Pelodiscus sinensis: one gene and its partner. The protein of the gene in region 2 binds, or shares a complex with, the protein of the main gene of each other region. Links are inferred from orthologs where the notes say so. Each region holds a gene or a part of one and is shown on either strand. Other genes may lie near its edges.

Region 1 (7,775 bases), on a different chromosome or scaffold from region 2:
ATGATGGGAGGCAGGCAGCTGCAGACTGCTCTTTTATTGTTTTGGCAGTAAAATAGGATAGTTGGGGGCTGCGAAGGTCTGAGCTATACCCGGTAAATAAACACCTCTTGCCACTTTCGTGCCTTCCATGTAACTCAATTCTTTTGGCATGTCAGCTATTTATAAGCCTCAATGATTGAGGTGCTGGTGATAAAGATAAACCTTCTGATTGTTCCCAGGAACTGAATGGCATTGGTATTTATCCTTGGGCCCTTTTATCTGGACACTTGTCCTTGGCACTGTTCTTAGCCTGGTTCACTGGAGTCTGAAAGTGTTACCAAAATAGCTCTGCATTGATATAACCTTATCTAGACATGAGCAGGCAAGATGAAAAGCCATTGGGCTCTGTTGGTGCATTTCGAAAAATTGAAAGGAAGGAAGACAATGTTTTATTCCAATGTGCCGCCAACTTGCACAAACCACAAAGGGCCAATTCCTTTGCATCAAACTACATCTGTCTAACTTGTGCCTCCCTTCCTGTGCATAAATGTATAGGTATAAGAATGTACTGTACCAATGGGTCATCAATCATGGTAGCAAGATAAATTCATCGCGAGGCTCTGGTAATAACAACATAAGCCATGGGATGAAATTAAAATGGCGTACGATCATGCCCAAGACTCCGCTGTCTATTTGTGGCCTTTTTCTTTTATTTTCTACATCCTCTTGTTTTGGTGTTGACGTCTTTCATTACTGCCTCCGTGCGTAAATGCTGAAAATGCTGCCAGGATACATAAGCAGTGCCAGGGTTATTCCTCTTTTGGCTTTATTCTTTATTCACTGCTTCCATCTGAAATTGTGCTGGTGAGGATGAATCAGCTTGGCCGTGCTGTAGTTACTCTCTAGTGTTCTTCTGGTTTAATATTTGTTGCAGTACATATATTTAGGATTTTTTAATGGAATGGTCCAAGGAAATATCCTGTACCATATACTGCACTTTAGAAGGTGTCTGCCCCACATGTCTGCCCCATCCCAATTATTTTGCCTTGGTGAAATAATTACAGTGCAAATGCCGTTGTGTGAATGTACTCACAACAGGAATCCCTTGTCAGTTATATATGTTAGAGTTTTTTACTCAATCTCATCAACATATTCATCAGATCATATCGATCTGAGGAAGTGGGTCTGGCCCACGAAAGCTCATCACCTAATAAACCATCTTGTTAGTCTTTAAAGTGCTACATAGTCCTGTATTTTGTTTCATCAACATAGTATCTGAATGTGCCCCAGGGGGGAAACAATGGCACAGCAAAATCTCTACTGGACTTCCTGGAGTCTTCTAACTTGGAGTAAGAAGTTTGTTGGTTATTAGGAATGGAATTTTTTGTATTTGTGATTCTTTTTTGAGCTAAACTCATCCCTAGTCTAAAGTCATTGAAATCCATGGTGTTAGATTAGGGATTAATTAGGTCTGCTGCATCTTAGGCCTTCATGGAGTTCAGCAGGTTGAGAGGTACGAAACAGGCGGAAAATTGTCCATGGGAAACCTTCCTCTAACTATCTAATTCTTGACTCTAATTCTTTCTTTGTGCTAGAGAATGCATTCCAGCTGCCTGCCTGACAGATCCATTTGGCTAATTGTTAGCATTGCTGGCATTCAAAATGCTTTAAACTTGCTTCATAACAATGTGGGTGATGCCTCTAAACATTTTGGAACATAAGTTTAATTAAACATCCAATTGCAGAGAAACAAAAGTTGTTTCCTTCTAGAGATCACTTTTTTGGTGTCATTGTTTTTGAAGACTTGGGCTTTTGGCTCACTGCACCTAAGAGAACTGCAGAATGGAATCCCAGCTCAATGCAGGTTTTAAATACTGAGGTTAGTCTAATATGAAAGACAGCTGGTTTTGTTGCCATGTGTCAACTATCCCTCTTCCTTTAGGACATCTTGAAATGTTGAAAGCAATATCCACATCTGATGTATCTTTGTGCTTTTGTTAACTATCTACAACACCATATATAACCCCGTAACCACCAACATAAGGTACAGAACATGGTAACCAAAAATTCAATGTAAAGGGATTCATGCAATACAGATTCCAGAAAAATGTCACTCTTATGTTCTTCTGCTGGTTCAAGGTACAAGCTAATGCTGCACCTTCATTGGGAGGAAGACAAAATGGTTTGGGCTTATACAGGACACTTGATATGCAATAATTCAAGGCAAAACTGCTTTAGAAAGCACAACCAGCATGAGTCACATTATAATTTTTTGCCGTGTAGATATTAAGAACAAGGAAACAGAAATTGCAAATCAGATCACTTGCTTCCTAAGTCTTTATCAAATACATTTTGCAGAAAAACATTCACCTGGGGAAAAAACTTGGAAATGGCAGAATTGTAATACGTGAACATAAAAATGCTGCGGTTTCAGCTTCTGCAAATTCTCTTCCCCATTGAAACCATTGCTCTGTCAAGTTCTGGATAAAGCAGTAGCCATACCCAATACGTCAGTAGATTTTTCAAAATATACTAAAAAGTACACTTACACGCCATCTCTCAAAGTACAGAATCAGGGAAAGCCTGGATACGAATAATTGAGCTGTTTATTTTTAGAAGAATCTGCTTACAAGAAGAACAGTCGTATTTAGAATTGCCATTGCATGAAAAGTTCTATCTATGTTCTGAACTAGAAGGTGCGTTACTTCAGCTACCATTCCTAAGTGCATTTCATTGTTCCATTAAGGGCTCATAGATCTTCATTGCCGTGCCTTAGGGCAGCTTTCGGAGAGCAGCAAAAACGCTATGAAACGTCTTTCTAATACAACAAAGGTACCCACAGATCAAGGTAAGCTTAAGGAGATTACTTACTGCTGCCTTGTAAATATCATCCATGGTTAGCTAATTGCTGATCAGGAGCTGGGCAGAGAAGGCAAACAGTACAGAGACAAACTTCAAGTCTCTGTTAGCTGTCCCCTCCTTCTATCCCTGCTAATATAGCAAGGTGTCAGCCCCTAAATGTGTCACTCAGGGGCTGCTGCTCACCACATCAGAAACCTATTGTATGTCTATCAAAGATGCCCACTCCAAGTGGGAATTCCTCACCCCTGGGGGGAGGGGAAGGACGGGACACTATGCAAGGCCCGCAGCTGGCATTCCAAGGGCCCAATCCAGCTCTCGGAGTAAGTGGGATTAAAGCAGCCAAGTAAACACTGGCAAGTATTCGCGTCAGACTGCAGGTCTGATCCTCTGGAATTGGCTGGCAAACCTCCCTGTGAAGCCAGTGAGAACAGCTGGGTATCCTGGAACTAAATACAGTATTGGGAATGTTTGGGTAGCTAGGCCCTTTCTTTATAAGATGCTAGACCAGCGATGGGCACAGGCCCATATGCAGGGATTTCCGGGGGAGGGTAAGCTGCGGGAGGGGCTGGTGGCTGTCACCCTCCGCCCCTCCCCGTGGGCCAGCCCCAACCCCTATGGCCCAGCCCTGCCCCCATCCTCACTCCTGTGTGAGAAAGGGGGGAATCAGCCCCAGCATTCCCCAGCTGGCTGGAGCATGGGGGAAGGAGGCTGAGGCAAAGTGCCGCCCCTGCCTTCCGTAGGTCGGCTGGAATCGGCCTGTGGCGGACCATAAAGGACTGTGTGGAGGGGTGTTCGCACCCTTCTTACACACCCCGCCCCCCGCATATGGGCCTGGGGAAAATACTGACCCGTAAGCCAGATCCAGTTTGCCAGAGATACCCCTGGCAGGCTGCCACCACTATATTTACCTGCGCTGCTGAAGGTACGGGTGATCACAGCTCCTGTTGGCTGCAGATCCACGTTCCCGGCCAATGGAAACTGCGGGAAGTCATGTCCAACGAGAGCTGCAATTGCGGGTACCTGTGGAGGTGCAGGTAAATACAGCGCAGTGGCCCTCCTGGAGCTAACCTGGCAAACCACCACCTTCTATTGCCCATCACTGGTCTAGACCCAAACCCCGGATCCAAATCCACCCAATTCTGGAATAGTTTGGATCAGAATCACTGCACAGGTATCAGAGACATAATACAATGGGACTATGAACTCTGCCACTAACTCCCTGGGTGACCTTGGGTAAGTCACTTAACCTCTTAGTGCCTCAGTTTCTTTGCTGAATGAGGATATTTAATGCCTTGCCACCTTTGTAAACTACTTTGAGATGTCAAAGAAAAGGCTGTTAAGGACCATTATGATTTTATTGTATTGTAAATTCTAAGTTACCCTGTTGATGCTCGTGACTACACTCCTGTCATCTGTGCCCACAAAAGCTCATGATACCATCTACATATTTTGTTAGTCTTTAAAGTGTGACCAGAACGCTAGTGTGATGGATTTCCCCTGAATTTAACCCAGTACAGCTGAGAGCAGACTCTGACTCAGCAGGAATAAGCTTATTATTATTAATTGCACTATTTGTATAAATAAATACATGAAAAATGTTTGGCACATTGGCGAGGATCTTAATCTACAAATGAATCTGTGGGGAGGACGTTTTTCTTCAGGAATCCAGAGCTCCCTCTTGTGTCCAAATGAAATGCAGACAGCAAGAAAAAGTAGCAAAAAAGTCAGCAAAATGGGATGCCAGTGTATTTTTTGGACTGTTTTACAAGTTAGCCTATATATCAAAAGCAATGGCTGTCTCTCCTGTGTTGAGGAAAGGGATGTTCTGTAGGGGAGCAGATAGCTCCAAGGACCAGTAACATGGTGTAAAGCTCATGTTCCAATAGTCATTAATGGTCTGATTTCCAGAGATGCACATTAATTGCCAGTTTGGAGCTCTCTGCACCTCTTGAAAATGAAGCTGAAGATGATACAGAAGGTGTGAAATGAGTCAGCTGATCTTTTTCCAGTTCCCTTTGGACAGGTGTCCATCCTGGGTCTGGTCAAAAAGTGGGAAAATGATTTTGTGAACTGTTTTCAAATTTTTTGTTTTCTGTTTTGGTGAACCAGTTTTCTGCTTTTTTTTCCCTCAAAAATAATGTGATATTTACTGCAAATGAGTATTTTTCATTTACTGATAACCTGGTTTTCAGCAAGACAAGATAGTTTCCAGTAACTGAAAACATTTCATACCAAAAAAATTACCAAAAATACCACTGAAAATTTAACCAATAAAGGAACTTTTGGTGAATGCTAACAATAGTTTGCAAAAAAATAACCTTTGGGGGGGGGGTAAATTTAGTGCAAAGCATTTTGTACATTTGTAATGCATTCTATAATTAGCATTAATTGGCATTAGGGATATAAAATCCTGTTTAATCAGTGAAACCTGTGGGACGCCTCATAGCATTTGTAGTACCTAATCCAAAGCCCTGGGAAGGTTTTGGCCTTTGATCAAGCCCTCAGAGAAGTGAAACAGCAATTTAATTAGGAGGCACAATGCTTAGCAAGCTGTAACTCATCTGAGTCGATGTGGTTTTGAGAAGACAGAAAGGAAGTTCTGCTCACCCACCCTTGCTATAATCAACACTATGCCTGTCCTCTTGAGAACAAAATCCCTGTTCACTTGTTACTAGTATTTGTCTCATAAGAACGGCCATACTGGGTCCGACTGAAGGGCCATCTTGCCTCGAATCCTGTCTTCTGACAATGGCCAATGCTGGATGCCCCCAAAGGAATGAACAGAACGGGGAATCATCAAGTGATCTATCCCGTCACCCATTCCCAGCTTCTGATAAATAGAGGCTAGGGACTCCATTGCTACCCATCCTGGCTAAAAACCCATGGATGGAGCTAACCTCCATGGATTTATCTAGTTCTCTTTTGAACTCTGTTAAGTCTTGGTCTTTACAACATCCTCTGGCAAGGAGTTCCACAAGTTGACTGTGTTCTATGAGGAAATACTTCATGTTGTTGTTTTAAACCAGCTGCCTAATAATTTCATCTGATGACCCCTAGTTCTTGTGTTATGGGAACAAGTAAATCACTTTTCCTTATTTACTTTCTGCATGCCAATCATGGTTTTATGGATCTCTATCATATCCCCCCTTAGTCTATTCTGAAAAGTCCTACTCTTGTTAATCTATCCTCATAAAATATGTGTTCCAAACCCATTAATTATTTTTGTTGCCCTTTTCTGAACTTTTCCTAATGCCCAGGTACCGTTTTTGAGTTGAGGCAACCACTTCTGCACTTAGAATTCAAGATGTGGCCATACCATTGATTTATATAAAGGCAATAAGATATTCTCTGTCTTATTCTCTATCCCTTTTTTAATGATTCCGGACATTCTGTATACTTTTTTTTTTTGGACTGCTACTGCACATTGAGTGGATATTTCCAGAGAGCTATCCAAGATCTCTTTCTTGAATGGCAATAGCTAATTTAGTCCCCATCATTTTGTACACATAGTGGGGATTATTTTTTCCAACGTGCATTACTTTGCATTTATCAACATTAAAATTCATTTGCCATTCTGTTCCCCAGTCATCTAGTTTTCTCAGATCCTTTTGAAGCTCTTCACAGTCTGCTTTGGACTTACTATCTTGCAGACTTTTGTTTCATCTGCAAATTTTGCCATGTCACTATTTACCCTTTTCTCCAGGTCGTTTATGAATGTGTTGAATAGGATTGGTCACAGGATGGACCCCTACTTACCGCTCTACATTCTGAAAACTGACCTTTTATTCCTACCCTTTGTTTCCTATCTTTTAACCAGTTCTCAATCCATGAGAGGACCTTCCCTCTTATCCCAGGACAGCTTACTTTACTTAAGAGCCTTTGGTGAGGGACCTTGTCAAAAGCTTTCTGGAAATCAAAGCACACTATTTCCATTGTCCACATGCTTGTTGACCCCTCAAATAATTCTAGTACATTAGTGAGGTATGATTTCCCACCATGTTGACTTTTCCCCGACAAATTATGTTCATCCACGTGTCTGACAATTCTCAACAGAAGAAAAGTGTAGTCACTGTTTATGTGGAATTATACAGAGATAAAAATAGTATGTTCCTCTTAAAATATCTGGGCTGATTAAACTTGCTGAAGGGAAAGGCTTGTAAAATGGACTGAAATAATAATAGAGGCCAAAATCTATTAGCCAGAAGGACAAGTAACTTCCCTGTCCTGGCGCAAGGACCAGGGGCATGACCTGGTTAGAAGCCTGGTACTAAGTTCCCACCTTGACAGACCACAAGGGGTCAGTGGAAGTCCCACATATGCTGAGGCCCTGCCATGTGCCACACTCTTTCATATGGTCTTAAGCAAGTGGATATGATAAATATTGAACTCTCTCCCCTCCCTGCCTCTTGACAGCTGTGATGGGGAAGCTGCCTTTTGGCTGCTTCAGGCAGAGAAGTTCTCTTTCCTCCTCCATCTTCTGGGCAGCTGGAGGGAGACTCTTTCTCCCCTCACTGTCCCTGCCTCGAGGGCTGCGTCTAGATTGGCATGATTTTCCGGAAATGCTTTGAACGGAAAAGGTTTCCGTTAAAAGCAATTTCGGAACAAAGCGTCTAGATTGGCACGGACGCTTTTCCGCAAAAGCACTTTTTGCAGAAAAGCGTCCGTGCCAATCTAGACGCGCTTTTCCGCAAAAAAGCCCCGATGGCCATTTTTGCAATTGGGGCTTTTTTGCGGAAAACAAATCTGAGCTGTCTACACTGGCCCTTTTGCGCAAAACCTTTGCGCAAAAGGGACTTTTGCCCGAACGGGAGCAGCATAGTATTTCCGCAAGAAGCACTGATTTCTTACAGTAGGAAGTCAGTGCTTTTGTGGAAATTCAAGCGGCCAGTGTAGACAGCTGGCAAGTTTTTCCAGAAAATCAGCCACTTTTCTGG
Region 2 (7,182 bases):
GTAGCCCAGGCGTTAATGAAGCCAGAGACTAATAAGGCCTTTCCCCTATGACACCCGGTAGGCAGATATACATAGACACACGAACAGTCTCACGCACTCACACACACACACACACGGCTGCACAGCTGCGTAAGTCTTCAGCTTCCATTCAACACTCGGAGAAAGCAGCTGGCTCGTGCTGACCCGTCAGTCGCACACGTCAGCTGAGATTCCAGCTTCCACGTGGTTATTCCCAACAGCCCCACACTGCAAATGGTTACGATCCTGAATCCGCTCCGGGGCTCAGATCGGAGGCTTTAGTGGAGGCCTGTCTCCAATCATCCTCATCTCTTATAAAGTGAAGGGCAAATAAACCCTTCGGGTGAAATTCACCCCCGTGCAGAGGACTGGAATAAGGCCTAGGTGCCTCTCACATTGCCCATTAGCCCTGTGGCTTGCATCAGTCCCCTGGACCGGGGAGAGTTTCACCTTAACTGAACATCAGCTGAAGCAAAATTTGTTTACATATTGGAAGGAACATCCCCAGAACCGTTTTGTACAGTTCTACCAACCTGCAGCCATGCCAAACCATGCCAAGCAAAATAAAAAGAAGCAAAGTATTTACATAAGCCAGTAGTAACTACCCTTTGCCCTCCTTCCCCTTCCATACAACAGGGAACAAAAACCTACCTTCTTCCACACACTCCTCTGCAGGAAGGGGGAAGAGAAAGGGGAAGGAGGGGGAGAAAGAGAGCAGGTTATTGAAGTTGTATTGATCGTTTTATAGCTTCAGTCTGTCCTGATCTGCAGAAAGAGGGTTCTCGTTCTCTTACCTTCCTGTTCCCTGCAAAGAAGAATGAGAAACTATTAGATTTGTTTCTCCCAATGATTGCTCCCTGGGCAGGGGAGCACCGGACGGAATTTTTTGACATGAATTTTCCATGGAAAAATGCAGATTTGTCAAAACAAACCAGTCTCAAAACAGAATCAGTTTCAACAAGACTCACAACGTGGAAAAAAAAAGTTGGGAAAATGTTTTGTAACCATCCAAGTGCTTTGTTATGAACAATCACTACAGAAGTAGTTCTGGTTCAAAATTCATTTGAATTTCTACCAAATTTAAGCTAGTTAGCTGGGAGTGGAGAGAAGAGTCACACTGAAAAGAAGGCCAAAATCCAAACAAAATGGTTCAAAATCCAGACATCTTGATTGACAGGACTTTTTAGGGTTTTTGTTTTTTTAAACTCAGTGGCTGTGTCTAGACTGGCAAGTTTTTCTGCAAAAGCAGCTGCTTTTGAGGAAACACTTGCCAGCTGTCTACACTGGCCGCTTGAATTTCTGCAAGAACACTGGCTTCCTACTGTCTGAAATCAGTGCTTCTTGTGGAAATACTATGCTGCTCCCGTTTGGGCAAAAGTCCTTTTGCGCAAAGCTTTTGCTCAAAAGGGCCAGGGTAGACAGCTCAGATTTGTTTTGCGCAAAAAAGCCCTGATTGCGAAAATGGCGATCGGGGCTCTTTTGCGCAAAAGCGCGTCTAGATTGGCCACGGATGCTTTTGCGCAAAAGTGCTTTTGTGGAAAAGCGTCCGTGCCAATCTAGACGCTCTGTTCCGAAAATGCTTTTAACAGAAAACTTTTCCGTTAAAAGCATTTGCGGAAAATCATGCCAGTCTAGACGTAGCCAGTAATTTTATGGAAACTAAGCTTATGTTTCCATCCCAATTTAGAGCTGAGAAACATTTTGGACTAACAACATTTGCAGGATAAAAAAGCCTATTTCCAATGCAGCTTTCCTGGGGATGGTTCAGAGAGCCCCCCCATGGCTAATTTGTACTACTTAGTATTATGCATGTCTCTACAGGATGCACGTAGTTCCCCTCTACATGACGGCAGAGACGGGCCCAGGCTGGAAGGTTTCTGTTTGGATCCAAGTCCCCGCTTTCCAAGAGTCTGAGGTGCTCAGATCTGCCGGGCTTGGGTCACACCCACAAGAAGATGGGTAAAGAGAAACAAACACCTCATTGTGGGTTCCATTTATGGGAGGGAGGAAGATTTCACCATGGCCTGCAATTCTGAGATCTACAGCTCCAGGCAGAACTGGGTAATAATGAGAACGAATAAGCGCAATGGTTTTCAAATGACGGGTCGCAACCCAGGGCTGGGTGGCAGAATGTCCGGCATTGGGTCTCATGGCTGCAGGGGATCAGCTGAGCAGCGGGGGTGCTGAGGCAGCTCCCTGCCTGTCCTGGCACCGCAGACAGTGCTGCACCCCAGAAGCAGCCGGCAACAGGCCTGGCTCCTAGGTGGGGGGAGTGCACAGAGCTCCATGCTCTGCCCCTGCCCTGAGCACTAGCTCCGCATTTCCACTGGCTGGAAACCTGCTGCGGCTGCTTCTGGGGTGCAGCATAGTCTGAAGTGCCAGGAGAGGCAAAAAACTGCTTTAGGCCCCCTTCCCTCTCCCGCACCACACCACTGACTGGCAGTCGCTCAAGGTAAGCACCTCCTGCCCCAGCTCTGATCCCCCCCAAAGCCGGAGCCCCCTCCCACACCTCAAAGCTTGTCCTCAGCCCCACCCCGGAGCCCACACCCTAGTCATATTATGTAGGGTTGCGACATCAACAATTTTCTTCAACTGAGCCATGAGAAAAGAAATTCAAAAAAGAGCTAGATACATTCCTGGAGGATCAGTCCGGCAAAGGCTGTTGGCCGGGCTGAGCAGCGATGGCGTCCCTCGCCTCTGTTTGCCAGGGGCTGGCAATGGGCGACAAGGGGAGGGATCACTTGATGAATCCCTGTTCGGTTCCCTCTAGGGAATCTGGCATTGGCCACTGTCGACAGACAGGACACTGAGCGGGATGGACCCTTGGGCTGGCCGTGGTTATGTTCTTGTGTCAATTTGAAAACTACTGCTCTAGAGGACTTGCTGCACTTGCTGTCCCTCTGGCCGTGGGAGGGACTGTTTTAAAGCCCAGCACTTACTCTTCATATTCTTCGATGATTTCTTCCACGTCGGACATTTTCAGTGATCTGGCAGGGAGGAAAAAGGAGAGCGTTGAAAGCGACAGTGACCCCCACAGCAGCCCAGTCAGTCCTTCATCCTGAGCCCTGCGGGTACTGGATGTCCGTGGCCATGCGGGATGAGCTTCGGGCAGCCCTATGGTCCATAGTCAAACTGCTTTTCAGGGGGGCGGAGTGCTCCCTAGGAGCCGTACTCTCACATCGGACAATCAGGCCAAGATGGCATCCAGAAATCAAGGCACCCCCCAAAACAGTCAGTCGCCATGTCCGAAAATTCAGTTGATGTGCGAGGCCTTGGCAGGCCTGAGCGATACGCATTTGTACAGGGGCATTTCCATGTGGATTCCCTTAGGCTGTGCGTCACACTCCCGCCTCCGCCTGCGCTCCGAGCAGCGTGCGGGGGACGAAGAGGGAGCCGTCTCCTCCTCCAGTCCCGTCCCGGTGCTGGGCTGCGATGCTGAGGGGGGGCCTTAGAAAGGCGCAGTGGCAGGGAAGCGGCGGCCGGCCCCAGTGCAGGTCATGTACGGGTGGGAATAAACCCCTTATCTGCCCAGCGTTTTACTGAAACTCGTTTGTCATTTGGGATCTGTTTGCTTTTCCACTCGCCCCGAGAGACGGGGGCTACAGGCAGGGCCGACAGCCACATGGGCCCCAGGGCAAGACGTGTAGGGACCCCCACTCTGCGCCCCCACAGGCAGGCGTTCAGCCCTTACTGCTGCCCAGACCATGGCTGGCCCCCCACTCCTAGCTCCCAGCCGCGTGGAGCCGCGCTCCGGCAGCAATTCAAAGAGGCCTCCAGCTCCAGCTGCTGATGCAGATGCTTGTTCCATCGCCGGGCCCAGGGCAACTACCCCCTTGGCTCCCACCCGTGGGCAGGCCTGGCTGCAGCACAGCAATGCCACGTATTTTGCTTCCGCAATCCAAGGGCCCCAACTGCTAGGGACCTCTGGGTTCTCCCAGCCACCCCTTCCGAGCTGGGTGCCAGCAGCCGATTGGCTCAGAAGTCCCTTGAGTACCTAGGGAATCCTTCTGGGGCCAGTTTAGCTGGGCTTGGGGCAGCTTTGAACGCCACAGCAGGGTGAGGGCCAAGACAACCAAGGCCAAAACAAAATGGCCACCTGCATCCTGACAGGAAGCCCTAGAAAGAGACTTCGGAGCCACGGGCTGCGTTTAGGCGGGGGGGCTGCCACCCAGGGCTGAAACACTCGGTTACCCCATTAAAAACCAGCACTCCCTGTAAGCTTGTGCAGCTGTTCAGGAGAGATTCCAGTGCTGCCCAGCTGGCTAGCAGACGCCAACAGCTGGGTTTGGGTTTCTCCTGGTGGTGCACATTCGCACATGTCTGAGTGCATGTAACAAACTTTATTGTGCACGTGAATCGAAAAGAATTGGAGGGAACATTGGTCACAGGGGATGCTACTTCCGATGGAAACCCTTTCCTGGGCTCATTTTTTGGGGGTGACCAAACCTTATTCCACCAGCTGCGTTTGTGAATTCCGCGCAGCTGCAGCAGCAAGTGAGTGGGGTGGGTAAAACAGCTGGGTGGGAACAGCCCGTTCCCGAGGGGGTCTGTGCTTGTCACAGACAGGTAGGAGCATCTATAATTATCTTACAAAGAGAGGGGAAAGGAGCCACGTCAGCACGGAGCCTGAATGTGCCTGAGCTAATTCTGCCTCCCCCACCACTCAGCAACATAGTTCTCCTTAAATAGGAAGCATCCTCCGCCAGTACTGATAACTCCGAGCGCCCCGCCCAGCTCAGGGTACGTAGCAACCTCTCCGGGCAGAGATGATCTAAGACAGAGCTATGCTGCATGGGAAGTTCAGGGGAGGAGGATAAACCCAAGGAAACAGCCCATTTCACTCCCCAGTGCTCAGCACTGAGGCCTGGCTTCTAACACGTAGCCAGCATGTTTCCTTCTGCCTCATTGAATGTACACCCTGGGACCAGCTTCTCCTCGGAAAAGTCCCCCACTGTCCCCGGCCACTGAGGCAGTCAGAGACGCTAGCATGGTAACTCCTGCCTTGAACCACATGTGATGTAGTAGGCAAGCCATATACTAGGTCATACACTATGGTCATCCACTGGTGGCTGTGTTTGAGCTGGGGGTGACCCCTACTGGACGGTATCTGTAGCACTGCCCAGCAGGACAGCTGCCTAAGCCACATAGGCAAAGACCCCAAGCAGGGAAGGAGGCAGAGACCAACACCAGGTTTCAGGGGAATGGGCAGTTGCTGGCTGGGAAACACTGTGGCTGTGTCTAGACTGGCCAGTTTTTCCGGAAAATCAGCCGCTTTTCCAGAAAAACTTGCCAGCTGTCTACACTGGCCGCTTGAATTTCCGGAAAAGCACTGACTTCCTACTGTAAGAAATCAGTGCTTTTTGCGGAAATACTATGCTGCTCCCGTTCGGGCAAAAGTCCCTTTCGTGCAAAACTTTTGCGCAAAAGGGCCAGTGTAGACAGCTCAGATTTGTTTTCCGCAAAAAAGCCCCGATGATCGGGGCTTTATTGCGGAAAAGCGCGTCTAGATTGGCCACGGACGCTTTTGCAGAAAAGCGTCCTGCCAATCTAGACGCTCTTTTCTGCAAATGCTTTTAACAGAAAACTTTTCCATTAAAAGCATTTCCGGAAAATCATGCCAGTCTAGACGTAGCCAAAGGGAACAGCTTTAGCTGAGGGTCTAGGGCTGACAATGGACCCCCTAATCCAAGGGGTCTGAGGCATCCTGGCCCTAATTCCTGAAACACAGCACAGATGTGCTGTATCCCAGAGCAGCAATAAACCCTCTCTATTCTACTGGCTGATGGAGTCTATTCTTGCTGCTACGGGGTTGCAGGATCAGGGGGAACCCCGCCACATCATCACACCACGTTAGTTCCTCTGATGGGTTCCTTATGCTGAATCCTTCCCAATCCCTGCTCTGGGGCCCAGCGAGATTCACGAGGAATTCAAACATCCTGTGACCTTAAAACCACTTCAGCCAGGCAGAGAAAATGCTGGGAGACGGGCGTCTCTGTGGGCAGCGCTGTCTATGCACGGACAGCCCAGCAAGCAGGTATCCATGGGGGGTGGGAGTCCAGGCTGCTGGGTTCTGTTCCTGGCCCTGCGGCTCACCTGCTGTGTGACACGGGGCAAGGCTGGAGCCCAAAGGAAAACCTGCAGCAGCAACTCAGAACCAGGCTCAGTTAGCTCCATCTGCCTGGCTAAAAACAGCCAAGTGGACTTTTGTGCTCAGACCCTGGCTCCAAAACCGTCTTCCCCTCGTTGGGTTTCACAGCCTGAACTCCAGCTCTCAGTTGCCCCTGGCTCTGAATCTCACTGCTCTGGGTGTGACTTTGCAGTGTTGACCTACCCCAAGGCCACAATCCTCCAAGGCCTTTAGGCTCATAATTCCCTGGTGTGATGACTGGGAGAGGTAAGACCCTTTTCTGGAGATGCCAGCCATGCAGTCAAGTCTCTTCACGGGGTTTACTCTTAGGACCTACCTCTAATTGTCTTGCCTGTAAGGGCTGAAACCATAGACCGTGGGTCCTAGAGAGTCCCCAAGGAATGCCAAGGAAGCGAGTTGGCCAGAGGCCAGGAGAGCCAATGGAAACCGAGTAGGGACTTCTGAATTGGAAAGTGACCTTCCTGGTCCAGTCTTTGTATGACCAGAGCAGAGCCTGGGCAACATGAATTAAGCCAGGAATCCAAGCATGGAGTATTTATTCTAGAGACAGCCATACCCAAGGAAGGACTACATCTTGGAATAACAGATGTGGGTAGAAAAGGGAATGTTTAGTCAGATGCGATCACGTTATTTTCTTTAGCTGAGGGTTTCTTGGACTTTGCTGTGTGTCACTACCCCCTTATGTGCAACTTTCCAAACTGAATCCCGGGGAAACAATTCACTGTTTTAATTTTTAGATGCTCTAACACAGGGCTACTCAACACACACCCTAGGCATGGGATCCTTTTAACGTAGCCTCCACTGGGAACCCACTCTACCACCACACATCAATATAATGGTCTTCTGTTGATTAAATTCCTGGACTGTCATTGCTCATTTAAAGTGCTGCCATGTGAGTTTCCACCCATATTTACAGCAGGTAAATATTGCATTTTATGAATATCAGCAGAATGGACTTAAACAGGGCCTGCGTGTTGTGTAGTCTTGCCTGCCAGGCTGAAAGAAGCTATTTGCAC

Evidence for each region. The genes of interacting proteins can lie anywhere in the genome.
Region 1: the proteins of TNNT2 (region 2) and TNNC1 are in contact, whole or in part, in a crystal structure (PDB 1J1D), measured with the Homo sapiens proteins. The link is inferred for Pelodiscus sinensis from reciprocal best matches to the Homo sapiens genes TNNT2 and TNNC1. Residues at the interface, in NP_001263274.1 of Homo sapiens: Gln266, Tyr269, Asn272, Val273, Asn276, Arg277, Asp280; in NP_003271.1 of Homo sapiens: Asp99, Phe101, Arg102, Asp105, Ala108, Asp109, Gly110, Tyr111, Arg147, Tyr150, Asp151.

What each region holds. Positions count from the first base shown.
Region 1 is NC_134721.1:41,398,121-41,405,895, reverse strand, and holds the start of TNNC1 (troponin C, slow skeletal and cardiac muscles), read right to left. Parts: upstream 3,002-7,775; 5' UTR 2,875-3,001; coding exon 2,851-2,874; intron 1-2,850. UniProt on the Homo sapiens protein: Troponin is the central regulatory protein of striated muscle contraction. Tn consists of three components: Tn-I which is the inhibitor of actomyosin ATPase, Tn-T which contains the binding site for tropomyosin and Tn-C.
Region 2 is NC_134737.1:13,382,058-13,389,239, forward strand, and holds the start of TNNT2 (troponin T, cardiac muscle), read right to left. Parts: upstream 3,002-7,182; 5' UTR 2,996-3,001; coding exon 2,958-2,995; intron 824-2,957; coding exon 813-823; intron 688-812; coding exon 670-687; intron 1-669. UniProt on the Homo sapiens protein: Troponin T is the tropomyosin-binding subunit of troponin, the thin filament regulatory complex which confers calcium-sensitivity to striated muscle actomyosin ATPase activity.